4 linked regions of the Notamacropus eugenii genome follow. The protein of the gene in region 3 interacts with the protein of the main gene of each other region in a biochemical or structural test. Links are inferred from orthologs where the notes say so. Each region holds a gene or a part of one and is shown on either strand. Other genes may lie near its edges.

Region 1 (8,084 bases), on a different chromosome or scaffold from region 3:
CCTCAAAGAACTTATAGTCTAAAAGGAGAGACAACACATACACAAATACACACACACACAGAGGCAGTAAAGGGGGGTAAGGGGGGAATTCCAGGGGATATCTTCTTCTATGGAGTTGAAACAAGGCAGAGCAGCAGATGTCAAATGGAGTGACCTGAGAGTCCATTTTCTGACCTTCATCCTCCAGCCTTCCAATCAGGAGGCTAAGGGAAGTGGTGTCAATCAAGGCTTGAGTTAGCAGCACGATAGATTAGACAAGGATGAGTTTATCCTGCCCATCTTGTTCGGTGGAACTGAGACCAGGCAAAGTGGCAGATGCAACGTGTACTCACACTTGGGACCCATAGTATCTAATGGGTATCACTAGGATTATTATCCTTGTTTTACAAGTGAGGAAACAGGCGTGGAGATGCTAGTAACTGGCTGGACAAAGATGATGTTAATCACTGTTGTCATCAAGTCATTTGACAAGTATATATTCAGCTCTGCTCAGCCTTGGGGATACAAAGAAAGGGGAAAACCAGTCCCTACCCTCAAGCAGATTAAAATCTAATAGGGGAGACAACAGGCAAAAAAAACATATGCAAATACCAGATAAATTGGAAATCATTTCATAGGGAAGGCACTAAAATTAAAAAGTCCTGGAAAAGATTTTTTTCTTTTTGTGGAAGATGGAACTCTAGCTTAAACTTGAAAAAAGCCAGTAAGTGGAGTAAGAGGTAGAGATGGGGAGGGGGAGAGTGTCAGACATGGGAATGAGGCTGTGAAAAATAAAGTTTCCCTGATTATCTTTTTAAATTAGGTCTATTTTTTGCTTTTTGCTTTGTCTGAAATGAATCCTGTCACCTCGCTTTTTTACTTCAGCTAAAGCATATTGGATTCTACTCCAATCCTGTATTTTAACTCTGTATTTATCTTTTTCCTTCAAGTGCATCTCCTATAAAGAACATATTGTTGGATTCTAGTTTCTAATCCATTCTGTGATGTGCTTCCATTTCATTTACCGTTGTGATTACTATGTATTTTTCCCTATCCCATTTTCTTCTTTTTCTTTTCTTCCTTCTCTTTTCATCGTATTCCTCCCCAAAATCCATTTTGCTTCTATCCACTGTCTCCCTTAATCTGCTCTGCCTTATATCATTCCCCCTCCTTGCCTTTCTTTTATCTCCTTCTCCTCCTATTTCCCTATTGAGTAAGTGATATTTCTACCTATAGCTGAGTGTGTGTATATGTATATATATTCTTTCCTCTTTGAACCAAGTTAGATGAGAATGAGGTTCAAGCATTGCCTGCTTCCTCCCCCATTGTCCCTTCCACTGTAAAAGCTCTTCTTTGTGTGCTTTTTTATGTGAAAAAAATTTCCCCATTCTATCTTTCCTTTTCCCCTTCTCTCAGGGCATCCCTCTTTCTCACCCCTTCACTTTTTGGGGGAGGGGATCATTCCAACATAATAGACTCATGCCCATGCCCCATGCCTTCTGTCTATGTAAACAACTCCTTTTAACTGCCCTACTAATGATAAAGTTCTTAGGAATTACATGAATCATCTTCCCATATAGGAATGTAAACAGTTTAATCTTATTGAGTCCCTTATGATTTTCATGTTTACTTTTATACTTCCTTTGAGTGTTGTGTTTGAAGGTCGAATTTTCTATTCAGCTCTATATCATCTCTGATCTTTTAACTCCTTTAACATGGAAGCTGCTCAATTTTGTGTGATCCTGACTGTGGTTCCATAGTACTTGAATTGTTTCTTTCTGGTTGATTACCATGTTTTCTCCTTGATTTGAGAGTTCTGGAATTTGGCTATAATATTCCTGGGAGTTTTCATTTGAGGATCTCTTTCAGGAGGTCATTGGTAGAATCTTTCAATTTCTATTTTAACCTCTGGATCTAAGATATCAGGGCAGTTTTCCTTTATTGTTTCTTCAAATATGATATTTATAGGTTCTTTCTTTGATCATAGTTTTCAGGCAGTCCAATAATTCTTAAATTATTTCTCCCTGATCTATTTTCTACATTAGTTATTTGTTTTATTCAATGAGATATTTCATATCTTCTACTTCTTTCATCTTTTGACTTTGTTTTATTGTTTCTTGCATGGAATCATTAGCTTCTAGTTCCATACTTCTAATTTTTGAGGAGGTATTTTCTTCAGTGAGCTTTTGTACTTCTTCTTTCCATTTGTCTAATTCTATTTTTTAAGTTATTTTCTTCAGTGAATTTTTATGCCTCTTTTTACTATTAGAGCAATTCTACTTTTTAAGGCATCACTTCTTCAATATTTTTGTACCTCTTTTACCAAGCTGGTAATTCCTTTTTCATAATTTTCTTGTATCACTCTCATTTCTTTCCCCAATTTTTCCTCTACCACTCTTTTCTTTCTTTCTTTCTCTTTCTTTCTTTCTTTCTTTCTTCCTTTCTTCCTTCCTTTCTTTCTTTGTTTCTTTGTTTCTTTGTTTTTTTCTTTCTTTCTTTCTTTCTTTCTTTCTTTGTTTCTTTCTTTCTTTCTTTCTTCCTTCCTTCCTTTCTTCTTTCTTTCTTTCTTTCTTTCTTTCTCTCTTTCTTTCTTTCTTTCATTCTTGTTTGGCTTGTGTCCAATTAGCATTTTTCTTTGAAGCTTTTGTTGTAGCTATTTTCATGTTGTTGTCTTCTAAATTTATATTTTGTTCTTCCCTGCCACTGAGTAGCTTTTTATGGTCAACTTTTTTTGGTCATTCTTATTGTTTTAAGTCATTTTTCTAGCCTATTTCTTGACTTTGAATTTTATGTTAAAGTTGGGCTCTGCTCACCTGGTGGTGGCAAAGCACTGTATCAAGCTTTAGGTTTTTTGGTGCTATTGTTTTCAGAGTTAGTTATGGGGGGGGGGTGGAATCTGCAAGTTTTTGGTGCTTCCAAGGTGGTGTGATCTGATGAGAAGTAGGATCCTTGCTCTCCTGTTCTGTGCTATAGTCACAGCAACCCTGCTCTCTTACAGCTGCAAAAACTAGCATTCCTATTTGTCTTGGAACTGTGACCAGGGCTTCTGTTCCCTGATGACCAACCAACCTGATGACCAACAACTTTGCCCTGGGACCATGACCCAGAATGGCACATAAGCAATAGAATTGTCAGTCAGTATCAGCTGTATTCCATGCCAGCAAAGGGTCTTTTGTAATCTCTTGACCAATTGTCAGACCTCCTTACCATCTCTGGGCTAAGAGTTCGTGAAACTGCTGCTACTACTACTGCTGTTGATGCTGCCTTTTGTGCATACTCCAACAGGCTGTCTGTCACAGCCCTCTCATGCAGACCTAAGTTTCCTTAGGCCAGAAAAATGTCTCATCCTGAACTTTTGTTGACTCTCCTGCTCCAAAATTTGATCTGAGGCATGATTTTAAAGTTGTTTGGAGGGGGATGTTGAGAGAGTTCAGCTGGGTGGCTGCCCCTAATCTACCATCTAACTTGGCTCCCTTTTTATTCTAGTTGAAATTCATTTATAAGCTAAACCAGAGAAGATTTTGGACATGTTTGATCTTGAGTTAGTCATCTGTGATCATTTATTAAGTTGGTAACCATTTACTAAGTGCCTAGTATGTGTGTATTTTGGACATGCTTGATCCTAAATTAGATGGCTATCTGTAATCATTTATTAAGTTAGTAACCATTTCCTAAGTACCTAGTATGTGCCAGGTACTATGCTAAGTGCTGAGAGTTGTTTTTATCTCCCATTATATAAGATTTAACTCAGCCTGGGGGTAATCTGGCTGACTGGCTTTTCTTAGCTGGATTTAATGGCTATGACAGTTCTTATTCAAGCAAGCTTCTAGTCAGTGTACTTAAATAGACTGGAACTAAGATTGCTTGAAGGCCTCTGAAAGGATTACCCCAGAAAGTGAGAGCAAGGAGCAATACCCAGTGGAGACTGGTTCCAGCAACCTGCAGAGTAACATTTGGTAGAGATTAAGTAGGTTGGTGGCCAGTGAGTAGAGAACTAGACTTTAGGTCAAGAAGTCCAGAGTTTGAATTTCTGCCTCGGATGCTAGCTGTGTGTACTTGAGCAGGTCACTTAAAACTTTGAGGATAATAATAACCAACCTTCCAGGGTTGCCATGTTGTTATTGTTCAGTCATGTCCAACTCTCTGTGACCCCATTTGAGGTTTTCTAGGCAAAGATACTGGAGGGGTTTGCCATTTTCTTTACCAGCTTATTTTACAGATGAGGAAATGAAGGCAAACAAGGTTCAGTGACTTGCCTAGGATCACACAGTTAGTAAGTGTAGAGGCTGGATTTGAACTCAGGAAGATGAGTCTTCCTGATTCCAGGCACAGCAGTGTATATCCATTATGCCACCTAGCTGCCCCTACTATTTGCCAGGCTCTGTGCTAAGCCCTAGAGAGGATACAAACAAATACAAGCCTGCCCTCAGGGAGCTTTTGACCCAGTGGAGGTCAACACCACAGAAAGGGAGGTGGAGAAGTGTGTGTGTGCGGGGTGACTTTTAAGTGACTAGGAGGTTTGGTTCCAGGTGAGAGAAGACCTATCAGATAGAGCCCAGAGTCCCAGGGGCAGAGTTCTGGAGGGAGGGGGCTGATAAGGAAGCTGGAGGCAATATGGCAGCATGGGTGGAAAATGGCCAGGGAGCATTATGATTGTAAATATCATGCATCTTCTAGAACGCAAAAGCTTGCAATGTAGAAGCGTCTCAGCAACAATTTGAAGAATAACCCAAAATGAAAAGGTGAATGCAGAATTTCTGGAAATCCACCCAAGTAACACTGAAGGGGAGTTAGCCAGAGGACAAATTCCAGAGGCTGGAGCCTTCTATTTGGAAAAGCCAATTGCCAAAGTTTCAGAATTTGTCTGAAATGAAACAATGGTTAAATGATCACCCCTCCCCCCTTTAAAATTCCATCAATTTTTAATCAAAACACAAAACAGAGAAACCCTTTATGCACCGGGTCTAGTCAGTCCTCCACAATCCCAGCTTCCCATAGATCTAACCCCTAACAAATTGATGGTGGGAGGAAAACCGAGCGGATCTGGGTGGAGTGTGGCGCAAACCACTCCCCATGAGTCAGCTGGAAATTGAATTCAAATTCCCAATCTCCCTCGGTTCTTGGCTTATGATGGTTACTCTTAAAATGACTACTGCCCCTGGAAACCATACTGGGAAACAGGTAAGACCTGGAAATATTTACCTGGAAATCAAAATTGTTTTTAAAAATGAAAGGTTTATGTTTGAGTTAAGATTTGTGGTCTCTGTTTATTCTGAGAAAGGGAAAAAAAACAACCCACAGGAGCGGAAGCTTTTACTTCTCATGTTTCATTTGAAGAATTGACTTCGTCTGATTCGCTCCAGGGGAGGGGGAGGGGGACATCCAGGAATGCATTTGACTAATGGCAAGCCTGCAGAGAAGGAAGCTTTTCCTAATTCTACAGCATCTTGTCGTTCTTGCAATGAACGTGTAGCGAATAATCCTGGAGGAAGAGTCACGGTAGAGCCGGCTGCGTGTCTGGGGTTCTTTCAGCTTTTTTGGACAGCGCCACTGGCTAAGGAAAAGGATTTATTTCCTTAATCATCCCAGCGCCCAGCTGTTCTGCCCTGGGGGTTGTCAGTCAGTAAGCATTTATTAAGCACCTCCCTGATGTCATGGTCCTCTTGGAGAATAAAGGACAAATAAGAAAAACAACTGTAATATCTATGCTGCGGGCACTTGGCCAACAGTTCCTGCGTTCAGAGGGATCTCGTGATATCAGACTCAAAGGGGGAGGGAGCACAGTCTAAGGTACCGTTTACAGGTGATGCACTGCAGTTGTGACTGAGAATCATTGAACTCAAAGAAGCTGAGACTCTGAAAGGCATTTTGCGGGGAGGGGCTTTCAGAATGAAAACTTCAATTTTATTTTAACATTTTTTTAGGGGGAAAGGGTACGGGATTTCATAGATATGGGGAACCCTTGGAGTAAAAAGCAACAACTCCCTCTACAAAGCAGCAACTCATCTGTATTTTTAGAAATCACAGATTTAGGGCTAAAAAGGGATCCCAGAGAAAAATAGGGAGAAAGCTCAGAGATCATCCAGTCCGAGGGTTCTGGAATTGGGATTCCTAAAGGGAATCCATGGCCAAGTGGATAGATTTGGACTTGCACTCAGCCAGACCTGAATTCAAATAATGTCTCTCAGATACTTATTAGTTGTGTGACCCTGGACAAGTCACTTAACCTGTCAGCCTCAGTTTCCTCATCTGCAAAATGAGGATGATAATAATAGCACCTATCTCATAGGGTTATTATAAGGACCAAAAGAAGTGCCCGGTTGCTGCCTCATGGGCAGAGCAAATATTGTCCTCATTAATTACTTCAGTGACTTACAGTCTTCCTGGAAGTTTAACGAACACTGTACTTGAGTCACAGGTTGACCTGCTTGAACAAGTATCTCAGTTATAAGTAAGTTTCTATGGTTTCTTCCTCTTAGACAAACCAGACAGTGCTTCTTTTCATATAACTGACCTTTTTTGTTTTTTGTCATTGAGTCATTTTTAGTTATGTCTAACTCTTTGTGACCCCATCTGGGGTTTTGTTGGCAAAGATACTGCAGTGGTTTGCCAGTTCCTTCTCCAGCTCATTTGATAGATGAGAAAACAGAGACAAATGGGGATAAGTGACTTGCTCTGGGTCACACAGCTGGCAAGTGTCTGAGGCCAGATTTGAAATTAGGAAGATGAGTCTTTCTGACTCCAGGCCTGGCACTCTATCCATTACACCACCTAACTGCCCCATAACTGACCTTAGTCCCCAACTATACCAGGAGTAAGAGAATGAGTTTTCTGTGGAGCAACAGCCTAGCTTTTCTATATCTCTGCTTGCACAATAGCAAAATATGCAGACTCTTGAGAGATCATGAACATAGCCTTTCAGTGGGCAAGGTTCCAAATTGGGGCTCAAATAAAAATACAGCTAATCACTGAGTCTCAGAATTAGATGGAACTCAGTAATAGGAAGGGGTCATCTAACACAAATCCTCGTTTCACAAACTGAGACCCAGAGCAATTAGGTGTTGTAATGGATAGAACAGTGGGCCTTTCCAGTGAGTCAGTCCAGAGTGATGCTGTGATGTTATATGATATAGCAGGGGGCAGAAGGATTGTCTAGTCCTTTCTTTAGAACAATGAATAACAAGTAAATGGATGAAATCTGAAGCATTTTTGAAGAGGCTGCCACTGATGGCTGCACAGGCTCTCCTACAGTTCTGGTCTGCATGCTGCTGTCCCAAGCAGCAGCAACCCTTCCACCATCAAATATTCATTAAGTACTTATTGTGTGCAAAGGATTGTTTTTGGCTCTGGTCAAAATGAAAAGTACCATTCCACATGATAAATACACTTGAGGGTTATCAGTAGGGGAAATAATCTGTGGTGCAAAGATCTGATTTAAATCTTGGCTCTGCCACTTACTCATTGCATGACCTAAGGGAAATCACTTAACCTCTCTGGATCTCAGTTTGCACATCCTTCTCTTCTGGGGATTGGACTTTTATCGTTGTTCAGTTGTTTTCAGTTTTGTCTGACTCCTCATGACCACATTTGGGACTTTGTTAGCAAAGATACTAGAGTAGTTTGCCGTTTCCTTCTCCAGCTCATTTTACAGATGAAGAACCTGAGGCAAAGAGGGGTCAGTGACTTGCTCAGGGTCACAAAGCTAGTAAGTGTCTGAGGATTGAACTACATGCTGTTATATCTGATCTTTACATTCCCTCATCTGATCCTTGAAACAACTCTCTGAGGTAGGCACCAAAAACATTGCTATTTCCACTTTATAGACGAGAAAACTGAGGCTAAGTGGCTTGAACATAGTCACATAGTTAGAAAGTGGCAGAAGCAGAATTCAATATATAAGCTTTTCTTATATCCAGGTGTAACTATTTAACCATTATATAACCCTGTCTGTCATTAATGATTTTTAAGATCTTTTCCAGAACTGATATTCTGTGATTAGATGAAAACAAAGAACTGTATGAGGTCTGAGAGATAAGGTGATATTGATCTCAAGGATCTGGGAAGGATTTCTTGAGAAGATAACATTTGAGTCAGGCTTTAAAGGT
Region 2 (7,306 bases), on a different chromosome or scaffold from region 3:
GACTTAGCACAGTGTCACAGGGGTGGGGAACTTGCAGCCTCAAGGCCATCTGTGACCTTTTATGTCCTTGGGTGCAGGTTTTTGACTGAATCCAAGTTTTACAGAACAAATCTTTTTATTAAGGGAATTTATTCTGTGAAGTTTGGATTCTGTGGAAGGGCCACAAATGGCCTTGAGGTTGCAGCATCCCCACCCCTGGAGCACATAGTAAGTATTTAATGAATGCTTGCTGACTTGACTGTTCCTTAAGTCTTTTTGGTATTTTCATCCAGCTCACAGCCACGAATCATCGGTTTCCTCCCAGGCTCTTTCCTTGGCCCCCTGCTCTTTTCCCTTTCTGCTATATTGCTTGGTGATCTCATTTGCTCCCATGGATTCAGTGACAGTCTCTATGCAGGTGATTCTCATATCTATCTGTCCAATTCTAACTAACCTCCAGTGTTCCATCGCCAGCTGCCTACTGGACACCTGGAAATTGATGTCTTGTAGACTCTTTAAGCTCAACATGTCCACATTATCTTTTCTGCCCACAAATCTTACTCTGAACTTCCCTATTTCTTGGGAAGGCAGCACCATCCTCCAGTCATCCAAACTTACAAATGGTGTCATCGTTTCCCCACATACTCACTCCACTTAGCCAATTTGCTGCCAAGTCTAACAACTTTTATATACATTCTCTTTTCTCTACTCACACAGCTGCCATGATAGTACAGGTCCCTATCACCTAAAGATACTCTGGGACTTTTGCAACAACTTTCTGGTTGGCTTCCCTGCTTCAAGTCTTTCCTCACTACAATTCATCTACCACAGAGCTGCTGAAATGATCTTCCTAAAGTAGTCTGACCAATGTTGTGGTCACCACTTCCCACCTACACTCAATAAATATAGTATATACTTAATGTTTACTGGCTGACTACATCTAGAATCAGATATAAAATCTTTGTCATTGAGAGCCCTTCATAATTTGGCCTCAAACACTTCTCAGTTTTATTATATTTTATTCCCTTTCATATGCACTAGTACAACTGAACTTGTCTTCTTTCTGATCTTCACAAACTATTGTTTCATCCCCCATCGCTGTGCCTTTGCATTGGCCATTCCCCATGCCTGGACCTGGTTTCCTTCAAGGTTCTGCTCAAGTGCTACCTTTTTCAGAGATTTTTGCCTTGATCACCCTCACCTTACTCCCAAACGTATATACACACATATGGACGTCTTCTGCCCTGGCTAAAATATAAGTTCTTTAAAGGCAGGGACCTTTTTACTTTTAACTTTCATCTCCAATGCTCAGCATTTCCGGGCACACAGTAGACCCTTGGCAAAGGCTTGTTGATCAATTCAGCATCCCAGTGACTCCTCAGATGAAAAGTGCCTTCCCTAGACACCAAAATATATTCTCTCCCACCTTGTAGAGAGCAGGCAGTACCTAAGTGAACTTTACCACCATGAAGGGGCTCTCTATGAATCTCTTCCACTGAGCTCTTCCTGGAAATTCCATTTTGAGGGAGGGCCCAGACCAGCCATCATTCTAGGGACTTTGCCACCATGTCCCTGTTCTGCTACCTTCTCTCCCCAATCCCAACTTGTTAGTTCCCTGCTTATGTATTATCTTCCCTCCTTAGGATGTTAGCAATTTGAGGGTAGGGACTGTCTTCTTTTTTTTTTTTTTTTTTGCAAGTTATTTGTATCCTTGAGGCTTAGTACAGTGCCTGGCACATAATAAGTGCTTAATAAAAGGACCAGAATTTAAAAATACCTTACAGGACCAGGCTGCAGTCAGTCAATTAACAAAGTACATTTTTTAAAAAATACACAAGAGGAAAGAAAAAGTAGAGATAGAATGAAATATTTTATTTCAAATTAAAATAATAAATTTTGTTGCATCAGTTGTCATGCCTGATCCTTCTAGTGTTTTAATCAATTCTCATTGACTGCCTTTGTATTTACAGAATTTAGCATAGTGCCTGGCACACAGTAAGCACTTAATAAATGCTCTTTTACTCATTCATTCCCCAGCCAGATTCTAAAATAGTCTTATAAAGACACAAACTATATCATAGGGTATAGTGTAGAGAGAGCCTTAACTTCTTTAATGCTATAAAGCCCATTGATCTGCATCAGTGGATGGAGTGAATGTGTACACTGCTGAAATCACATTTCCCACCCTCCTAGAGTGCCAGAGACTCATCAATTTCCTACAAAAGGAATATAACATTTTCTCTCTCTGTCTTTGTTTCTGTGTTTCTCTTTATTTCTGATACTTTCTATTTTTTCTCTCTCTCTCGATCTGTTTCTCTTTCTATACTTCTGTCTCTCTATAAGTTACTGTATCTGTTTCTTTCTCTCTTTGTCGGTCTCTGTTTCTCTCTGGGGGTCTCTCTACACTTCTTCTGTTTCTCTATGTACCTCTCTCTCCTCTAAAACCCTACAGGAAAGAAGGAAAGAAAAAAGCAGGAGGAAAAAGAATGGCTGTGAGACCACAGGAAAGGGACGGCAGGCTCGCAGAGCGAATGTCAGGCTGGAAGCGGCTTCGGGGGCCCCCGGCCCGGACCCCAGAAGCCAGGACGCCCCTCTCTCCAGCCGCGCTTCTCCATCCTCCCGGTCTCAGGACCCCTTTACGTTCTTCAACAAAATAACCGAGGGCCCCTAGAGCTTGTGGGCCGATCCCATGCGGGAATGCTTATCCTTGTCTTATTCATTTCAAGTCACTCATTACCCGTTCGGCTACCACAAACGCACTTTACTCCGACGGTGACCGCAGTCACCCGGCTCCGGAGGCCCCGGGTTCGAGTACCAGCTCGGCCGCCCCAGCGGGGCGAGCCCGGGGCTTCAGTCTCCACACAGCCGAGGGAAGGGGGCTGGGACTCCCCAGAAAGTGGGAGGGGTCCGGCGGAGACAAGCAAGCCCCGGCCACCCTCCTCCCGCGGCTCGCAGACTCACCTGAGCAGGTACGGATCAGCGGGGGCGCCCGGACCCGCCTCCGCGCGCAGACTCCACCGAAGCCGTTGAGATTCGAACGCCCGCCGCCTTCAAACCCGCGCGCTGCGGCCTACGGGGCGGACAGAGGGACAAGCTGCGTGGGAACGCGTTCCCTGCCCGCCTCGCTCCTTCGCTTTCTCTGCCTCTTCCCCTCCCCATTGATTACGGTTCATTATCATGTTGGAGTTCTTGTTTGTACACACAGACATATTCACATATCATCTGTTCTATCTGCAGTCCACCTGTAGATCCTGCTCTATCGTCTCTCCCGATCTCTCCGGCTGTCTCTGCCCCTCTTCCCCTCACCTTCCTGGCGGAGATCCCACCTTCTGCCCACCTTCCCTAACCCCTACTGGAGCACCTCCTATCTGGCCTGTGCGCAGCCCGCTTAGTCTGTATTTCTTCTCCATGGAGGCAGAAACACTTTTTGCTTTTTTTGTCTTCATTCTAGGAGCTTAGCACGGCGCCGTTCACATTGTAGCTACTTCATAACGTTTATTGATTATGATTGATTGACGGACCTAGGCATCCCTTTGTATCTACCTAAGGAGCATTGTGCTCCTTATCATCGCTCATCCATTTATCCATATGTATCTATTTATCTACCTATAGTTACCTAAAGAGCATTCTGTTATCTATCATCTATTATCTCTTTATCCATCCATCCGTCTTTATCCTACATGTATCTATTCATGAACTATCTTCCATTTACGTATACAATCTATTATCTCTGGATATGTGAGTGATTATCAGCTCTCCATCATCTCTCTTTGTCCCTATTTTCCTTACATCAACCTATCTCATCATCTATCTGTCCATTTTTCTCTTTTTTAAAACTTTATTTAGTATCACCCTTTACTGAAAGCAATTTAGACTTTTTTAACTTCCTTTTTTTCAACTTATTTATTTAATTTTAGTTTTCAACATTCACTTTCAGAAGTTTTAAATTTTCTCCCCATTCCTCCCCCTTCTCTCTCCAATGCAAGGTGTGATTAAATTTTGTTTCCACAAAAATTAAATAAAATTATAATTCATATTGATGGTTAATGTCAGAGAAAAAATTGCTTGTATAAGGTGGTGGGTGGGGAATGCTAGTCCTGGAAATCAGCGTATCTACTACAGAAAAACCTCAGTTTATGAATTTAATTCATTCTGAGATTCTGTTCATCGTGTGATTTGTTTGTATTGCAAAGCAAATTTTCCCTTAGAAAATAATGTAAAGTCAGATGACTGGTATCACATCCCCAAACATATTCATGTAAAAATAATTCTTTACAGTTTTAAGTTTTTTGTCCCTAATGGACCCAAAATACAATAGCAATGATTAGTATACAATATAAACTGAAAATGAAATAAATTAACCTACACTTTACTTTTGAGAACAGTCATGGCTGGTATGAGAGAGAGAAGAGGGAGGAGGAGGAGGAGGAAGGGTTATTGCTTGGTAGAAGGATCTCCTATGAGAACATCAGAGATTTCAACCTGGGAAGTGTTTTCTCTTATGTTACTTTCACTAAAAGTAAGACTAACACTACTGCCTTCACTTATTTTGCATTGTTTAGAATCACTTTCATGTTTTGACTTACTGATTGTTTTTTTTTACATTCGCTTCTGACTAGGAATCTATCTAACAACACTTGTCTGACATTTTTTTGATTAATTTGTTTTCAGTTTTCAACAATCACTTCCATAAGTTTGAAATTTTCTCCCATCCTCTCTCCGCTCCCTCCCCATGACAGCATGCAAATCTTATATGAGTTAAAAAAAAAAAATTGCCCTAGTTGAGTGTCCTCCCTTCTCAAGCTACTCAAGTCCAAACATGATGTTTGTACTGCGAATTTTTGTTTGTCCTGCAAGACAAATTTTGTGAAAAATTTTTCCTTGTTCAGCAAAACAGGTTACTTGAAAACTGAGGTTCTAATGTACTTTTCTTTGTTCTGAAAAGGCCTCTCCCTGCATACCAAAAACAACTGCCAGGCCAGCTCTCATCCACAGAGGATAAGAATGAGAGCCATAAACCCACTAATGAGCGTTGAAAAGGTACAGGAACCCAAAGACTGGAAGTCCTTGGGTGGGCCATCCTGAAAGAATTCATGGACTCAATCATTCTTGAGGTCAAAGTGGTAAAGATTTATTACACTTTTCAGCAGGCAAGAGTTCTCAGGGAACCTACAACCTTAGAGGGGTACAATTAAAGTTTATATAGAATATTCTATAGTGAAGTATGTGCCAAAATTGCTAACTAGGTGATTCAGGGTGGGATTAGGGAGTGATTAAGGAGTGGTTAGTTCTTAAAAGAACATGCACTTTTAGTATCTACTGCACAGATATTTTACCCAGAGTTCATCAGAAATAGCCCAAAGAGGGCTTACATGGGTGTGGTTTTAGGCCTAAAATGTCACTAAGTCAACTAATGGCCAGGGTTGACTTGAGAAATACTCAGGCTGCTCCCATCAATATCTTGTTAGAGCAGATAAACTTAAGGAAGTATACACATTTCTAAGTCTAGGATACATATGATTGGTCAGTGAATAGTAAATATCTTTATGAACCAGTACACAGCCAGTTCAGCCAGTACACAGTTGGTTCAAACTAATAAATCCTATAGGTGCTGCTGGCTGCTATATTAGGAAGAAAGATCTATGGCAGGCTGTACTTGGGCTGGGGAAAACTGCCTGGGATAGTGTTTTGAGGCTAGGGAGAAATGTGATTTTAGAGAGAAATGTGATTTTAGAATTGGGATCCAAGCACAGGCACCCAAGCACCCCATCACCATCTTTTTTTATTGATATCCTGGAATCTTCGAACTCACACTTTTGTCAGTTCTCTTAGCAATTGAAAGCTCTTTAATCATGCTATCTGATGTAGACAAAAGGGGAAGGGACTAAGAGTATTCCTTTAAAGAATAAAGTAAATGAAGATGTAATCAAGAGGTAGGGTTTAGTGAACCCTGGAATGTTGATCAATGGGGTTCAAGGCAAAAATTCAAGTCTGGATGAATTATAAAGACTTACATAACTTGCATTATGTGTTCTTACACCAGCTTGAAGGCCAAGTCATCTGTCTTTTAAATGTGAAGTAAAACTCTTTTTTTTTTCTAAATTCCCTCATAGCCTTGTAGAATTCTTGGTTATTTCTAACACCAAAATGGCATGCAATCTGATATGGGCTCTACACATACATTCCTATTAAACGCATTTTCACATTAGTCATGTTTCATAGAAGAATTATAATGAACAGGAGAAACCATGAGAAAGAGAAAAAGAAAAAAATAGTCTGCTTCATTCTGCACTCTGACTCCATAGTTCTTTCTCTGGATGTGGGTGGCATTTTCCATCATGAATCCTTTGGAAATATTTTAGGTCCTTGCATTGCTGAGTAGGGCTAAGCCTATCAAAATCAGTCATTGAACACTATGGCTGTTACTGTGTACAATGTTCTTCAAGTTCTGTTTACTTCACTCAGCATCAGTTCACGTAAATCTTTCAAGGTTTTTCTGAAGTCTGTCTTTTCATCATTTCTTATAGCACAATAGTATTCCATTACATTCATATACCACAGCTTGTTTAGCCATTCCTTCAATTTCTAGTTCTTGGCCACCACTAAAAGAGCTGCTATAAATACTTTTGTACATGTAGGTCCTTTTCCCATTTTTATGATCTCTTTGGGATACAATTCTAGAAGTAGTATTATTGGGTCAAAAAGTATGCACATTTTTATAGCCCTTTGGACATATTGCTCTCCATAATGGTTGGATCAGTTCATAGCTCCACCAGCTATGAATTAGTGTTCCAGTTTTCCACATCTCCAACATTTATCATTTTCCTGTTTTGTCATGTTAGCCAATCTGATAGGTGTGACGAGGTACCTCAGAGTTGTTTTGATTTGTATCTCTCTAATCAATAGTGAATTAGAGCATTTTTTCATGTAAATACAGATAGCTTTAATTTCTTCCTCTGAAAACTGCCTGTCCATATCCTTTGACCATTTATCAGTTGAGGAATGATTTGTATTCTTGTAAATTTGACTCAGTTCTCTATATATTTTAGAAATGAGGCCTTTATCACAGACACTAACTGTAAAACTTTTTTCCCAGTTTCCTGCTTCTCTCCTAATCTTGTTTGTATTGGCTTTGTTTATGTAAAAGCTTTTCAATTTAATTATCAAAATTATCCATTTTGCATTTCATAATGTTCTCTATCTCTTGTTTGGTCATAAATTCCTCCATTCTCCATTGTGAGAAACATGCTCACTCTAAATAAAGAACAATACTCAATGTGAAGCCAGGAAAGTTCTGTTTTTATTTTAGCCAATTATTCTGCATTCC
Region 3 (7,375 bases):
TCCCTCATAAAAGAGGCAAGCAAAAGGTTTTCAATGGAGGGGAAAAAGGGGGAGGTGAGAGGGTAAAAGTGAAGTTTTTTTTTAGGAACCCAGTGAAGGGTTGAGTGCAGACTCTTGGATGGCTCCTCCACAGTACAGCCTCACCACAGCACCTAGGCACAGCCCTGGGAGACTTTGGTATCTTTGGCAGGCACTGTACTCTACTTTTTTTATGCTTTAGGAGACCCCAGAGGACTCATTAATAAAGATCGACTAATCAGGAATGTCAAACGCCTGAATTCCACCACAAAAACAATTTCAGGTGGGCAGTAAAAAGCCCTTAGAGGTTTACAACATCTTCTTGGAGTCCAAGGGAGTTGCCAAACTTGACTGTTTTTGAGAGCTGGGGGCCCTGTTATTCATATTACCCACCTCTGGGGAAGCCTTAAAACCAACAGGAGAGAGACGTGGGTTCTGGAGGTTTCCTGAATCCACAATAGGTGGGACCAGCAGGGCAAAGAGAGGAGGGGCCCTATGCAGGCCAGCCCAGGTTTGGGCACCATACACTCTGGGTGTGACGGATCTGAACTTGATTCTCCCTCCTACCAGCAGGTAAGCTTCTTGGGAGCAGCCACTGTATCCCTAGCACCTAACCAAGAGCAAGCACACAGTAGGTGCTTAATAAATGTTTAATTCAATTATCCTGTAATTTTCTGTGGTTTGCTTCTCCCTGATCAGGTCCTAGGCACTTGGTAGAGTGCTTGCTTTCTCAGTTATAGGGAATCCACTTCTATAGCTAATTCTAGCAGTCCCCACCTCTGACAACTAAGTACTGTTAGTCCTGTGTCCCATGAAAAGGAAGGCTTTCCTGCTGAGGGAAACCCCTCAATCTGGAGCCCACAGTCCTCCATCTTCTCCAGCAGACTGCCCCCATCAGCCCTCCTCTCTGGCACCTTTCATGTTCCCGTCCCTGCAGCGGCCTCCTCACCCTGCACGGTCCACCCTTGTCCCTCTGTACCGTCTCCCTAGGTGCCCTCCTCAGCCCTCCTGGGCTCCTACGAAGATGATTCTCAGATACGGAGCTCTGCTCCACCTGATGCCTCTGGGCACCTTGAGCTGGATGTCCATAGACATCTCACCGGCTTTCCTGGACGTGACAGGTCACTGCTAATTCATCCTGAATCCGCAGGCCACAAAAGCCCATCCCATCTTGTTCAGAACAGCTGCCTTTGCATGAGGTCCACTGGCACAGACAGGTCCGAGACTTCACACTGATCTTTACTGCAGTGCATCGACTGAACCTGGCCCAACACTGGGGCCTCTCAAGTCCTTTCGGGCTCGGTTGTCCAGGGTGTCCGCTGTCCCTCCCGGCTGGACGCGAAGAGCCTGCCTTCTGTCCTTTGATCCAAAGAACTGAGAAAAACGGTCCACCAGGGTGAAGGCCTCTTGGCACAGAACCGCCCACTGTCTCAGTTAACCAGTCTGGACCCTTCTGGCTTCTCCACAACAGCAAGGGACGCCCCCGGAAAGCTCTGCTAGGATCCGGTACGTTCCTCTGTCAAGTGAAACGCTCCTCCTTCTCCTCACCCGAATCCCAGGCTGTGCCCTCACTCCTCTGCCCTGCTCGGGGTGGCCTGGAGCCAAAGTCCTGGGTTCCAATCCTGGCGGCCCGCCCCGGCTGAACTGAGTAGTCTTGGGGGGCCCCTGCCTCTAGCAGCTGCAAGCCCTCACTCCGGGAAGGAAGGGGGGTGCCTGGGCAGGTCAGCCTGGAGACGGCTGGGCGGAGCCGGTCCGAAGGCGGCGGCTGAGGTCCACAGGGCGATCCGGCTAGGAGGTGCCCCGGGCTCCCGGTGGCGCCCCAGCTCAGCGGGCTTCGGAAGCCTCCTTACCCCGAACCGCTCCTCACGGCCCTGCCTGCCCCGGGCCGCTCCCGGGCCGCACGCGCTCGGACCCCACCCGAACCGGGGACCGCGGACCCGCACGGGCACGAACGGTGCGTGCCACCCCTCGGCCAAGGCCGCAGCTTCCCGCCTCTCTGCCCATCACCAGGCGAGGAGGGGAGGAGCCCGGGCGGGCAGCAGGGGGCCGAGGGGGGCGGAGGCTGTGGGTCGGGGTCCGGGCGGAGCGGGGCGGAGGCCGGCCCAGACTGACCCCCCCGGGGGAGGGGCTCCGCTGCCCCCTTGCCCCGAAGGCCCCCCCCCCCCCCCGTCCTCCAACTCCAAGAGGGTGCCAGCCTTTGCCACCCCTCCTGCGTGCCAGGCACCGCGCTAAGGGCGTGTCCGTCGTACAGCCCGCAGGAGACCACCCTCCTTTAATCCCAAAGGGGTGCACGGGGCCCCCCCTCCCGCCAGGCCCCCCGCAGCCCCGGGGCGCTCCCTCTCCCCCAGCCCCGACGGCGTCCGCGCCTTTACCTCGGGCGGGGAAGGGGAAAGTTCCGAACTTGGCAACTTTGTAACGAGCGGCGGGGGCGGGGGCGGGGGCGGGCCCTCCCCTCCCCTCCCCTCCCCTCCCCCCTCCCCCGCCCCTCCCCTCCCCCGCCCCTCCCCCACTCACCGAGGAGCGCGTGGAAGAGGCTGCTCTGGAAGATGCCGATGACGCGCTCGAGGGAGCCCCGCAGCGGCCGGTCGTGTGCGGGGCTCAGCTGCGCGCGGTACTCCTGCAGCAGCCGCAGCGCGCGCTCCGTGTCTGCGGGGACAGGGCGGGGGGCAGGCGTCAGCGCGCGGCGGGGCCGCCCCCTCCCCGGCCCCCTCCCCCGCCCCTCCCGCGCCCGCCGGCCTCCCCTCCCCCTCCCCTCCCCCTCCCCTCCGGGCCGCTCACCTCGCTTCCGAACGGGCATGGCTGGCGCGCGTCGGCCCCGCCTCACGCCCGCAGCGCCATCGCCGCCCGCTCCCCGCGCGCTCCCCGCCCGCGCTCCCTCTCTCTGCCTCCGTCTCTCTCCGTCTCTCCCTCGCCGCCGCCGCCGCCTCCCCTTCCTCCTCCCCCTCCTCCTCGGGCTCTCCCCTCAAACTTTCCTCCAAGATGGCGGCCCCCGAGCCGGACGGCCGCGCCCCCACGTGACCGCCTTCCCCCGCGCCGCCAGCCAATGGCAAGTGAGCGGGCGGCGGCGCGCGCCCGAGCGGCCCGAACGCTCGGCAGCCCCGGAGAGGGGGCAGGGGGCGGGGCCCTGGGGGCGGAGACGCTAGGGGGCGGGGCCCGTGGAGGGGCGGGGCGGACACTCCCTCCCCCCCGTGGAGCGGGGCCGACGCGCCTTAAAGGGCCCGCGAGCCACAGGTGGCAGCCCGACCGAGCCGGTCTACGGGCGGGGCCGAGCCGCAGGTGGGCTGGCCACGCCCCGGGGCGGGGCCCGGAGGAGGAGCCGCCGCTGCTCGTGGAGGTGGGGGTGGGGGAGAAACCCCAAAGGAGCGCCCAGGTCTCGGGCCGGAGCCGAGGGGCTGGGGGAAACCGAGGCCCGGGGCCGCCCCGAACCGGGCTTCAAGGGCTGCGGGAAAGCCCCCGAGAACCCCCTCTGTGAAGGACCCGCGGACGACGGACGGACGGACGGACGGGGCTTCTCGCCCGCCCCGCCTCCTCTGGCCGCGCCCCGGGCCCCCTGCTGTGCTTGGACCGTGCGCGCCCCCCCACGTCACGGGAGCCCGAAGCTGGCGGACCCCACGGGGGGCAGGGGAAACTGAGGCACGGAAAAGTCAGCCAGGGTCACGCGCCTGCCGACGTGCGCAGGTGTATGTGTGTGCACGCGTGTGCGTGTAAAGTGCCCCCGGGACCCCCCGGCGCTCCTGGCAGCGCTGAGGTAAATCCGTTACTGCCCGTGACAACCCGGTGAGGTTCGGTCCGGTCCGGTCCCGCCAGCAGGGTCAGGCCCCTGTCGCGATCCTCCCGCAGACGCAGCCCCAGCCCGGCCCTGCGCCCCGCACCTCCGGGGGGTCACTGTGTCCTTGTGACCCCCACTTTCGCATCTACACCATGACAGGGTCGGCCTTGGCGGCTCCGGCCCAATTCCCCGAACCTGTGGCTCTGATCACTTTGTCATGGAAAAAAATTGATCAGACTCTCCCTTAGAAAGTCAGCGGGACTTGGATGGGCAGGGAAGCGGCCAATGAAGGAAAGAGGAGGCCTGCTACGTCACACACCTGTGCGAGGTGTGTGAGGTGGAAGGACAAACGGCCGGAGGGCCCCGAGAACCGCTGTTCGCAGGCCCGGGAATGCAGGAGACTGGGCAGGCGACCCAGCATGGACACGCTCGGTGCCGGCTCGTGAGTGGGCTGTGAGGCGGGCCACCCCTGGGCAGCAGCTCGGAGTCTGGCACCGAAAACAACCAAGCGCCACCCTCCTGACCCAGTGGGCTGTGAGGCGGGCCACCCCTGGGCAGCAGCTCGGAGTCTGGCACCGAAAACAACCAAGCGCCACCCTCCTGACCCAGGAGCCGCGCTGCTAGGCACACCTCAGAGGCAGGCCGCCCGGCCGTGCCCACCCAACGCCTGGAGCAGCCCTTCTCGTGGCGGCCAACCTGGGGGAGGGAGAGGCACATCCTGTGGCTGGAACAGTCCGAGCAAGGCTCCGTGTCCCTGCTTCGCAGCTGCGGAGAGCCAGGCCTCAGGGGCAGGAGCAGGTCCGGAGGAGGCCTGTTGGATCAGTCGCTGGGTCGTCAGAGGCGCTCTACCTAGATGCCCACTGGTGAGGTGGGGTTGTGCTGCGACTGCGAAGAAGGCCAGTCGTGTCCCTGGTTTGTGTAGAACAACCAGGAGGCTCGGAGCACTGCCGCAGAGGAGAGGTGGCAGTCCAGCCTCTCCAGGGAGGGATTCCCTGACTCCTCTCCCCACCCCACCCCCACTTCCCCATTCTTGGAAGGTCGAGGCTTTGGACTCCCAGCAGCGTCCTTGGGACAATCATGGTGGGTATCACTGTCCGCATTGGGAGCTGAGGACAAACTAGACCCATTAAGGAAAGGCAGTCACTTCAAATCTCTGTGAGGATCCCATCAGGCAGCTGCAGGAGACTGAAGGGGAACACTGTGAAGACCAGCAAAAGGGCCTCTGGGAACCCAGAGTGTGAGCCTGCTTTCCCCAGGACGCTGTGTGTCCTTGTGAAATGGGGTGGTGGGTACAACCTTAGTAAATACCCCTATCTAAAGGCTAATTAATCTGATTGACTCATTGACACCAATTGCTAGTCCTAGGCGGAGGTGCAGGGAACTCGAGTAGGAGCTTAGGAGCTAAGTTCTAGGGACCTGACTTAGCAGTGAGAGTTGAAAGCTGAGAGAGTAGCTCACGATCCCCATGGCATGGTGGCATGTGAATGCACCAGAATATTACTTACTGCCCCATTAGAAATGGCAGATATAAAGAATATAGAGAAGGACACAAAAACCTAAGAACGGATACAAAATGAAGAACACCGAACCAGGAAAATGATATACCCAGGACTACAGTAGTGGACATAGAAAGGACAGTGTCGGTGATGGAAACTCACCAACATGGGATCATAATTGAAAATTCATCTTCCTCCCCCTGCTTCCTGTGGGAGGAGGGGGCTGCCTTAGCAATACAGGCTTCTAGACCCTGGGAAGATGATCTGGTAAGGCCCAAAGCCACTGATTGGTGAGTAAATGAATGTCTACTGGCTGGCCCTCTACTTACTGTTTAATCATTCAGTCAGGTCTGACTTTGTGTTTTCTAACTCTCTAGGGTTTTCTTGGCAGAGATACTGAAATGTTTTGTCATTTCCTTCTCCAGTTCATTTCACAGATGAGGAAACCAAGACTTACCCAGGGTCACACAGTTAGTAAGTGTCTGAGGCCAGAGTTAAACTTGTGGAGAATCTTCCTGATTCTAAGCCCAGTGCTCTGTCCACTGCACCACCTGACTGCCCAAGACGCCACCCAGACCATCTTACTCTAATTCCTCACCTCTGGCCACTTCTCCACCACACAGATTGCCTTCTCCTGTTAGAAAATCGGCTCCTTATATTTGTACCTCAAGGACTAATGCGTTTTTCCATTCATTCACGATGGTGTGTTATTTAGTTTTGTTGGATTTTCTTTCATTCTTTGTTATAAGGGACATGGGAATTAAATTGGTGATGAAGATGATATAAAGACAGGAGATCAATACTTTTCTTTTTGAAGCTAGTGGAATTACTTTGGCAGGTGGGAGACTAGGGGAGCCTTATCAGGCATGATTAGGATGTTGCTTTTCCTGGGCTGTTTCCCTGAAAGCCAAGAGGGAGACCCTGGGTTCCAGGAGAAACAATTTCTTCTCAGGTTTTTCTGGGCTTGTTCTGAGGCACTTCCTCCAGAGCGAAGAATAAAACTGGGAACCCTCAATTAGACCTGATAAAACACCGCTAGATTATCGTTAGATCATTTCCCCATCATCACTCATCAACAGCCCTATGAAGTAGGCAATGCTAACATGATTATCCCCATTTTATAGATGCAGAACTGAGGTTCTGAGAGGGGAAATGCCTTTTATCCAGCCAGTCATGCAGCCAGGTCAGGCTGCTGATGGAGACAGGCTGCACTCATCAAAGGAAGCCCTTATTTAGGAGGCTATATAACCCCATGTCCTCAGGCACCCCAGGACAGGACAGGAAATGGTGCTCAGAACATTCTCCCCCATTCCCCCAAAGCAGGACTCCGTCTTATACGTGGCAGCAATCGTCAGTAAGGACTTGGGGCAGCTTTAAAATACTTGTTCCTTGTATTAGGGAATCCAGGATGACAATGAGGATTCAAAAGATCTTTCCATGCTTGAATATTGGGCCAAATCTAATTAAATGAAATGGAATAAGGATAAAGTACATTTAGACTTGAGTTTTAAAAAGTCAGCTCCACAAATGTAAGATGAAGGAGATGTGTGACTAATGGAGCTAGATGGCAATTTATCTGAAAAAGATTTGAGGGTTAGAGTGAACCACAGGCTCAAGGATCAGCAGGGAGTGGTGTGGCAACCCAGAAAGCAAATGCCATCTTGGGCTGCATGAAGAGAGGCACAGTGTCCAGGAACAAAGAGGTGGTGGTACCTCTGTCTTCTGTCCAGCCAAGACTCCATCAGGAATTTTGTTCAGCCATTTCAGGCATGTCCAACTCTTCATCACCCCATTTGGGATTTTCTTGGCAGAGATACCAGAGTGGTTTGTCATTTTCTTCTCCAGCTCATTTCACAGATGAGGAAACTGAGGCAAACAGAGTGAAGTGACTTACCCAGGGACACCCAGCTAGTAAGTGTCTGAGGCCAGATTTGAACTTGGCTCTTCCTGGTTCCCACCCCAAGGCATTCCATCAAGAATTTTAGACTATCCATTTCAGGAAGGTCACCCATAAGCTAGAGAGTGTCCAGAGGAGGGCAACGGGAGAAGAAGGTCCCTGCGTCTATGTTAGATGAGAATTGGTTAAAGCGAC
Region 4 (8,050 bases), on a different chromosome or scaffold from region 3:
CTTAAAATGGTCAGATAACAAGCAACTATGTAAAAATAGGCTATATAAAGGATAAACTGGAGATAATCAAGAGAGATAAAGCACTAGAATTAAGGAAAGGCTTTTCATAGTTGAGTTTTAGTTGAGACTTGAAAGAAGTCAAGGAGGCTGGGGACAGGGTTGAAGAAGAGGGCAATTCTAGACATAGGGGACAGTCAGTGACAATGCTAGGAGTGTGGAGATCAAGTATCTTGTTTGACAAATAGTAAGGAGGTCAGTTTCACTGGATCATGGAGTACTGGAGGGGCTTAAAGTGTAAGTTATGAAAGCCTTTGAATGACAAACAAGATTTTATGCTTGATCCTTAAGTTGATAAGTAGCCACAGTAGTTTACTAAGTGTGTGTGTGTGTGTGTGTGTGTGTGTGTGTGTGTGTGTGTGTGTGTGTGTAACATGGTCACTTTAGGAAGACCAATTTGACAGTTAAGTCAAAGATGAGGAGAGAATTGAGGCAGTTAGTCCAACCAATAGGCTATTGCAATAGTCCAGGCTTAAGATGATAAGGGTCTTATCAGATGATAAGTGCTGGCGTTGTTAGAGGACAGAATGAGGTGCGTATAAGAGATATTACTAAGGTAGAAACAACAGGACTTGACAACAGCTGTGGATATGAAGGATGAGAAAGTCAAAGATGATACACAGGTTTTGAGCATGGGTGACTAGAAAAATGGTGATACCCCAAACAGTAATAGGGAAGTTAGGAAGAAAGGGGTTTTTTGGGTGGTGGGGAGAGATAATGAGTCCAATTTGGGCCATATTGAGTTTAATATGCCTGTAGGACTAATACAATTCGAGAACTCAAATTGACCATTGGACATACACAACTGGAAGCTAGGAGAGAGATCAGGGCTAATAAGTAGATTTGAGGACAATCAGCATAAAGATGATAATTGAATTCGTAGGAACTGATAAGATCATCGAGTGAAGTAGCATAGATAAAGAAGAGAAGGCCCAGAACAGAGCCCTGGGGGACACCTACTTTTGGTGAGAGTGCTTTGGTGAAGGTTGAAGGAGCCTTCAGATGAGGCAGGAGAGAATAATGTTCTAAAAACCTAGAGAGAAGAGAATATCAAGAAGAGGGTGACCAACAATGTCAAAGGCTGCAGAGAGGTCAAGAAGGATGAGAGTTGAGAAAAGGACATTTGATTTGGTGATCAAAAATCATTGGTAACTTTGGAGGGAGTAGTTCTGTTAGAATGATGAAGTCAGAAGCCAGATGGAAGAGTCAAGAAGAGAGTGAGAAGAAAGAAAATATTCTAGCTAGTCTTCTCAAGTTTAGCCACAAAAGGGAGGAAAGATATGGGAGGATAGCTAGTAGGGAAAGAAAGATGGATCAAGTAAGATTTTTCTGAAGATAGGGAAAAATGGGTATGTTTGTAGACAATAGGGAAATAGCCAGAAAACAGGAAGGGATTCAAGATGAATGAGAATGGAGTTGAGAGGGGAAAATCTGATAGAGAAGATAGGATGGAATGGAATGGAGTCAATTGTAGAAGGGTTTGTCTTGGCATGAAAAGGACCACCTCTTCAAGTGAGACAGAGGTGAAGGCATCTGGGTGATGACAGATCATTAGGAGGGGATAATAGTGAACTCTCAAAAAATGGTCTAAATTTTTTCAGTAAAATATAACAATATTGAAAATATGAAATATTTATAAAATAAAATATGAATTTTTTTTTAAAGTTCTTAGCTCAGAGAGTGGGTGAAAGTGGAACTATGGGAGGCTTGATGAAGGATAAAAATATTTGGTAGAGCTGCTGTGGTGAGTGGGATAGTGAGCCAACCAGAGAAGGGTAAAAGGATTTCCTTGTGGTAGTGAGGGTGAAATTGAGGTTATGCAACATAAATTTGTAGTAATTCCAGTTAGCACAGGTTTGTGATTTTCTCCAGCTTCATTCAACAGCATAGCTGAATGCCTGCTTAGTTTTCCTGAGGCTGGGGATAAAAATACAGAAGTTGTTTTCATTTATCCATAATTAGGCCCCCAGAAGTGAGGGCTTAGGCCTTGCAAATTGTTTCACAGCTTCAATAATCCTCTAGGAGACACTTTCCTATATGGCTGATGTCCAAGGCTGGACTCTGATGCTACCACTCTCTGATGCATGCTGGGTCAAAATGAGGCATTCATAGAAGTCACTGGAGATTTACTTAAGAAAAGATTTACTTAATAAAAGCCTTAATAAAAGGCTACAGTGGCACTTAATTTCTTTAAGTACAGTCCTCTTTCTCCCCCTTGGCTCTAAATGGATAGGTCACATCAGCAGGGCAGGTAAACCTTATTGGACTGAGTTTTATAAAAATATCAAGTATAAGGGACATAGATACCATATGAGGGAGAAAATCCATCAAATCTGAGGGACCTGGATTCCAGGACATGTTATATTCCCCTTAGATGACAGGAAGCTGTATCAGAGAAGTCAGGGCTAATCATATAGTTAAATTATGTAGAAAGGGAAACTTTGTTTCTTTTAGGTAAAACCTCCCCATGTTGCAGATGGGAGGAAAGAAGGGAAATGTAGTTCTGTCACAGTTGCTAAAATAGTAATGGGAAGTATTACAAAATAGTAAATGATGACATTTCCCCTGCATTGACCTCTTCTAATAATTTGACACTGTTGACCATCTCCTTCTCCATAATCTCTCCTTGCTGGGTTTTTGTGACATTTCTCTATTCTGATTTTTTCCCTACTTGCTGGACATCTCAGTCCCCTTTGCAGAATCATTATCCATATCCAGTTCCTTATATGTGGGTGGTCATGCTTGGTCATGAGTACTCCCCTCTTCTCTTTCTACACTCAGTGTCTTGGGGTTCCAGTTAATTCCCTTGGAGTCAACTATCATCTAAATACAGATGGCTCCCAAATCTACAGATCTAGCCTTGATCTTTCTCCTTAATTTTCAGTTGCTAGATGAACATTTCTACCTGAATGTCCTGCAGACATTTCAAATTCAACATATCTAACACAGAATTCATTCTTTTACCTCTAAAACCACTCTTCCTCTTAACTACCTTATTTTTGTTAAAGAAAATTCTTCCAATCATCCGGTCTCACATTCCAGGAGTCATCAATTTTTCACTCTCCCAAATCCTCCATATTCTATCAGTTGCAAAATCTCATCAATGCTTAGATCTGCACCTTATCCCTGGCTCCTAATTGATCTTTCTTCATCCATTTTCAATCTGCCTCCCACACAGCTGTCAAAGTAATTGTCCTCGACCATGTCACTCTGCTCAAAAAGCTTCAGTGACTCCCTACTGCCTCCTTTGTTTGCTATTTAAAGTCATTAGAAGTCTAGTTCTAGCATTTCTTCTTAGACTGATCAAACATTACTCTTGTTCAGGCACTTTGGCTCAGCTACTTGCTATCCTCAGCATAAGACACTCCATCTCTTGCCTCCATACCTTTATAAAGGCTGTTCCCTATTTCTGGAATGTTCTCCCTCCTTACTTCTATCTCTTGGATGCACTAATATAAAGGTTTAGGTCAAATGCCACTTCTTTTACAACAGGCATCTCCTGGTTCCCTCAGGTTGTTAATGTCAGCCACCCAATCATTCTGCATTTATTTTGCATAAATTCTATATTTATTTATTTGTGAATTTGTGGTAGTCCCCCAAAAGAATGAGGACAGAGACTGAGATCACTTTTTTATTTTGTATCCCTAGTGCCTAGCACAGTGCTTGACACATAGTAGGTATTAATAAAGGTCTGTTGGTTGATTCTTGCTGTCATATGACTATCCATCTTATACTTGTATCATATTTATTTGTATACATGTCCAAAATCCTTCCTCTCCTATTAGATTTTAAGTTTCCTAAGTTTGAGGAGTATTGTTTTTCATCCTTTTTTTCTTACTAGCATAGAGCCTTGGTGCTTACTAAATGTTTTCTTGAACTGACTTGAATCTTGGCTGTCACTAGTCTGACTTTGGTGAGCAAGTCACTTAACCTTTTTGAGCACTGTTTCCTTTATTTTAAAGAAGGATGATTGAACTAGATGATTTCTAATATCCATAGATCTTTGCTTAAAAAAACCTGAATTATATTCTTTTCTCAATCTCTTTATATTCTGCAGATTCAGGTTCAACTTTCAAAAATAAAATTCAATAAATTTAATTCCTTTATCATAAAGAATTGCTTTCTACATTATTTACATGTTGCCAAAGACAACAGACACAATACATCACAAAGTTGTAATTGACCTGGTACCATCACCTGGAATGAGATAGAAACCCTCTGGGTCTTTGACTCTGTGACTAAACCATTATTTCTGTAGAAAGCATCAACTAAGGGAATGGGTGTAATGCAATGGAAAGAGTGCTGAAGTCAAGGAAACCTGAGATTAAATTCTAGCTATCACTTACTTTCTGTGAAATCTAGAGGAAGCTCTTTAACATCTCTGGGCTTCCTCATTTGTAAAATGTCTAACAAAATTGCTTCTAGAATCTTTTCCATCTCTAAATCTATGATGATCACATCTGTGCCTAGAGGAAATAAGGTGGTGCCTACCTTAATTTTAAAATAACTGGTTTCATACATAATTCACCAAATCATTGAGGTGCATGTGGGAGAAGAATTATCTATGCATTTTATTTTTTAAAAACAATATAAAGACTAGAGATTAATAATATGCTATTTGGCATACTTCATTCACTTTATTCAACAAGTACTACTAAACAAAACTCATTGAGTTAAAGACAGATTGGAGGATACCACATAGGGCAATGAGAAAGCCAAGTATGGGAACACATAAAAGAGAAATTAGAAGGGCAGAATCAGTCCTTTCTAGCTCTGACATTTTTCTAGTTTAATGAGGCAGCAACTGTTTGGATTGCAGGGGGTGGGGAGGAGGGAGGAGTTAGAAAAGATTTCCAAGTTCAGTGTGGGTGGGGAGAATGAAGGGCAGCCTGGTGTGATGATATAAAGTTCCTAATGGACTTTAAGTCAAGACACCAGGTTTTGAATCCCCGATCGAGTACTTTCTAGCGTTGGACCTTGGGTAAGTCATATAACTTCTCTGATTCTCAATTTCTTAATCTCTAAAATGGGGAATGATAATAATCGTATCATCTATCTCAGACTCGATGGTAATGTGTTTTCACTCTTAAGTGCTATATGCATATAAATTTTTAACAAATGTCCAGAGGAGTTTGCGGGGGAAAAATTCGAATCCAGTTTTAGAGGAATTTAAATTAATTGGGGAAATCCAGGGAGTTATTTACCCAGGTGATGGTTGAACCTAGGGAAGCAGGTGATTCTCATCTCTTTGTCATTGATGGATGCATCAACACTACAATGAGTGGGGGGGGGGGGGGGGCTTTTGAGGATGGGAGAGATTTAGCGTTTTATGGAGTTTCTTGGTTCTCCAGTGGTTATCATCTTGCAGGTTTTGTAGACAATTTCGCTTATTATTTCTTATGATTCGTTAATCCAGGTGTGCATGCGGGTCACCGGGTCTCCCTGGTCTGAATTCAGGGTTTGCCCTCTTATCACTGTGCCAGGTTAAGTTGGTGGAGGAAAGCAGGTCACGCAGATCGGATGGTACCCCTAGGACCCAATCTCCCTTCCCTCCTTCCTCCCCTAGTGTCTCCCCTCCCCCGCCCCATCACTAACTCAGCATAATTCCTCTGCTCGCTTTGTTGCAGAGGTGCGTACTAGGTAGCGCCCGCCCTGGTGCCAGCTCCAGCTCTTGGTACCACCCCCCGTAAACCCTTTGCGATCCCCACCCTCCCAGATGCCAGGAAGGCGTCCCATCCCCGGCCAGGAACTTGGGCTGCGCTTTGAAACTGGTTTAACTAGTTTTTCGGGAGCTGGCGGCCGGGAAGAATGAAGCCCGCAGGGGCAAAGGGAGGGTCTGGCCAGCGGAGCACAGGTAGGGGCGGATGGCCCCTTCGGGACTCTGGGAAGGCTTCCAGGTGGGGCGCTTTCGCACAAGCTGCAGCGCTTCTCCAAAAACACTTCATCCCAACTTACACGTCCAACCATCCCTCCCTGCGGCTCCTCCCCCGGCGATCAGTGCGCAGACGCACGAGATGTGCGCGCTCTGCCACGGCGGGACGCCTTCCGGGAGTTGTAGTTCACCGCCGAAGGGGACTCCTCCACCAAGCCGAGCCCTTCGATCTCTCCGAGACTACAGCTCCCGACGTCCTCCGCGAGAGGGCACAGAGCGTCGTGTCTTTGACGGCCTCCGCCGTCGTCCAAAGGGAGTAGAGGCAACCGGGGAAGCCGGCAGCGGCGGGAGGAGGGGATGCGCTTGCGCGTTGCCCGGTTGGCCCCGTTCCGTCCCAGTCATTGTAAACAGGCGGCGGCGTAGAAAAGCTTGGGTGGGGTGGCGATGGGGTGCCTGGGGCTTGCCCGTGGCGCGGCCGAGGGGGCGGAGGCCACGGCGTGAGCGCGAGCGCGAGGCGGCGGCGGCGGCGAGGAAGAGGTCGGTCGCACCGCGGCTGGGGCAGGTCAGTCGCGTGCCCGGGAGTCGCAGCCCTTGACCCTCTCGCACTCTGTGGGGAGGGGGCGGGGGGGCTCCCCCTCCCTTTCCACCGGGCGCTGCGCCCCTTCTCTTCCCGGTCCCCGCACCACGTGAGGGTCTGATACTTCCGTCTCCCCAGTGCTTGTCAGGTGCCGCCCCCCTCACCTTTGACTTCGGGGGTTGGGGGCGTGGTTTTGAGAAAAGCGGGGTGTCAGGCCCTCACCCCCGCCCCCAGTTTACCCCGGGATGCCTCTCCTTGCCTGGACTCGTCCGGCCGCGTTTGTGCCGGGGTGTCTGGGAGGTCAGGAGGTCAGGCTCGTTCTTCTCACCTTCAGTGCTAAGAGACCTCCAAAGGGGCCCCCCAAGTCAGCCTTTAACCTAGAGCCAAAGGAAACCTCGGGACCCGGAGAAGGCGTTGGGGGTCTTCGCCTGCCGGGATGGAAGCCCGTTAGGATGTCAGGGTGTGCCGTTAGACGCTGCGGTGGCCCCTGGATTTAGGCTTCAAAAGGTGGAGAGATGGTAGAATCCTAGATTTAGAGCTGGGATGGGCTTTGGAAGGCAGATCCTGCTTTGGACCCTTGTTATTTGTGTGCTAGTCACTTCACCTTTCCGAGCCTCGGTTTTCTCACCTGTAAAATGGGGATAATAAAACACTATCCCCTAGGATTGTGAGATACCTGTAAAGCGAGTTGCAAACTTGAAGGATGGCTAGGAAATGCTGTTATCTAGTACAGGGGGTTCCTAAGGTAAGGCTCATTGTACCCAGAGCATAGAGTTCATGAACTTGGATGGAAAAACATTACGTTTTTTATTTTCACTAGTCTCTAGCTGAAATTTATAATTTTATTTAGTTTTTTTAAAACGTTTTTTAAGCTCCACACGCTTCACCAGCCTGTCACCAACCTGTCAAAACTCCCTGCACTTTACAGGTGAGTGGTTAAATAAGTGGCAGGGTTTGAGTCCAAGTTCTCAGAATCCGCATTCAGCATTTTTCCCCCAATTGTTTTTCACTGGTTTTTTCTTCCCACTGGAATACTCTTTCTCCTCACCTGCTGCCTCCCTGGCTTACCTGACTTCCTTCCTGTCTCAGCTGAAATCTTACTTGCTAGCTTTTCCTGATCCTTCAGTAAAGCTTCCCTACCCTCTAAGATTATCTCCAATGTATCCTATGTTGTTTGTTCATATTTGTTACAATGTTGTTCCCCGTGTTAGACTGTGACCTCCTTGAGGGAAAGGATTGTTTTTCTTTTCTTTTTTTGTATCCCTGACTTTTAGCACTGTACTCGGTACATAGTAGGTGTTTAACAAATACTAGTTAACTTGACCTCCTCTTTTCAGGATTAAGGCTTTTTTGAACTCACTTTTCAGATTCTTTTATGCTAAAACACTCTTTTTTGGGGGCAATTGGACAATTGGGGTAAAGTGATTTGCCCAGGGTCAGCTGGTAAGGTCTGAGGCTGTATTTGAATTCCGGTGCTATATCCTAGCTGTCCTTGTGCTGAAACATTCTGATGTCATTAAAAAAAAAATCTTTGTAATCTGAGA

What was found.
Region 1: the proteins of DLG1 (region 3) and EVI5 interact in a test that uses a peptide from one of them, tested with the Homo sapiens proteins (2 studies listed by IntAct, with this or other methods). The link is inferred for Notamacropus eugenii from reciprocal best matches to the Homo sapiens genes DLG1 and EVI5.
Region 2: the proteins of DLG1 (region 3) and PBK form a complex in vitro, tested with the Homo sapiens proteins (2 studies listed by BioGRID and IntAct, with this or other methods). The link is inferred for Notamacropus eugenii from reciprocal best matches to the Homo sapiens genes DLG1 and PBK.
Region 4: the proteins of DLG1 (region 3) and RALBP1 interact in a test that uses a peptide from one of them, tested with the Homo sapiens proteins (2 studies listed by IntAct, with this or other methods). The link is inferred for Notamacropus eugenii from reciprocal best matches to the Homo sapiens genes DLG1 and RALBP1.

The regions. Positions count from the first base shown.
Region 1 is NC_092873.1:504,272,906-504,280,989, reverse strand, and holds the start of EVI5 (ecotropic viral integration site 5 protein homolog), read left to right. Parts: upstream 1-5,072; 5' UTR 5,073-5,106; coding exon 5,107-5,160; intron 5,161-8,084. UniProt on the Homo sapiens protein: Functions as a regulator of cell cycle progression by stabilizing the FBXO5 protein and promoting cyclin-A accumulation during interphase. May play a role in cytokinesis.
Region 2 is NC_092872.1:524,126,847-524,134,152, reverse strand, and holds the start of PBK (lymphokine-activated killer T-cell-originated protein kinase), read right to left. Parts: upstream 3,124-7,306; 5' UTR 2,941-3,123; exon of another isoform or gene 2,740-2,940; intron 1-2,739. UniProt on the Homo sapiens protein: Phosphorylates MAP kinase p38. Seems to be active only in mitosis. May also play a role in the activation of lymphoid cells.
Region 3 is NC_092877.1:387,071,470-387,078,844, reverse strand, and holds the start of DLG1 (disks large homolog 1), read right to left. Parts: upstream 3,027-7,375; 5' UTR 2,816-3,026; coding exon 2,797-2,815; intron 2,665-2,796; coding exon 2,533-2,664; intron 1-2,532. UniProt on the Homo sapiens protein: Essential multidomain scaffolding protein required for normal development. Recruits channels, receptors and signaling molecules to discrete plasma membrane domains in polarized cells.
Region 4 is NC_092875.1:233,698,569-233,706,618, reverse strand, and holds the start of RALBP1 (ralA-binding protein 1), read left to right. Parts: upstream 1-4,931; 5' UTR 4,932-5,038; intron 5,039-6,354; exon of another isoform or gene 6,355-6,491; intron 6,492-7,300; exon of another isoform or gene 7,301-7,434; intron 7,435-8,050. UniProt on the Homo sapiens protein: Multifunctional protein that functions as a downstream effector of RALA and RALB. As a GTPase-activating protein/GAP can inactivate CDC42 and RAC1 by stimulating their GTPase activity.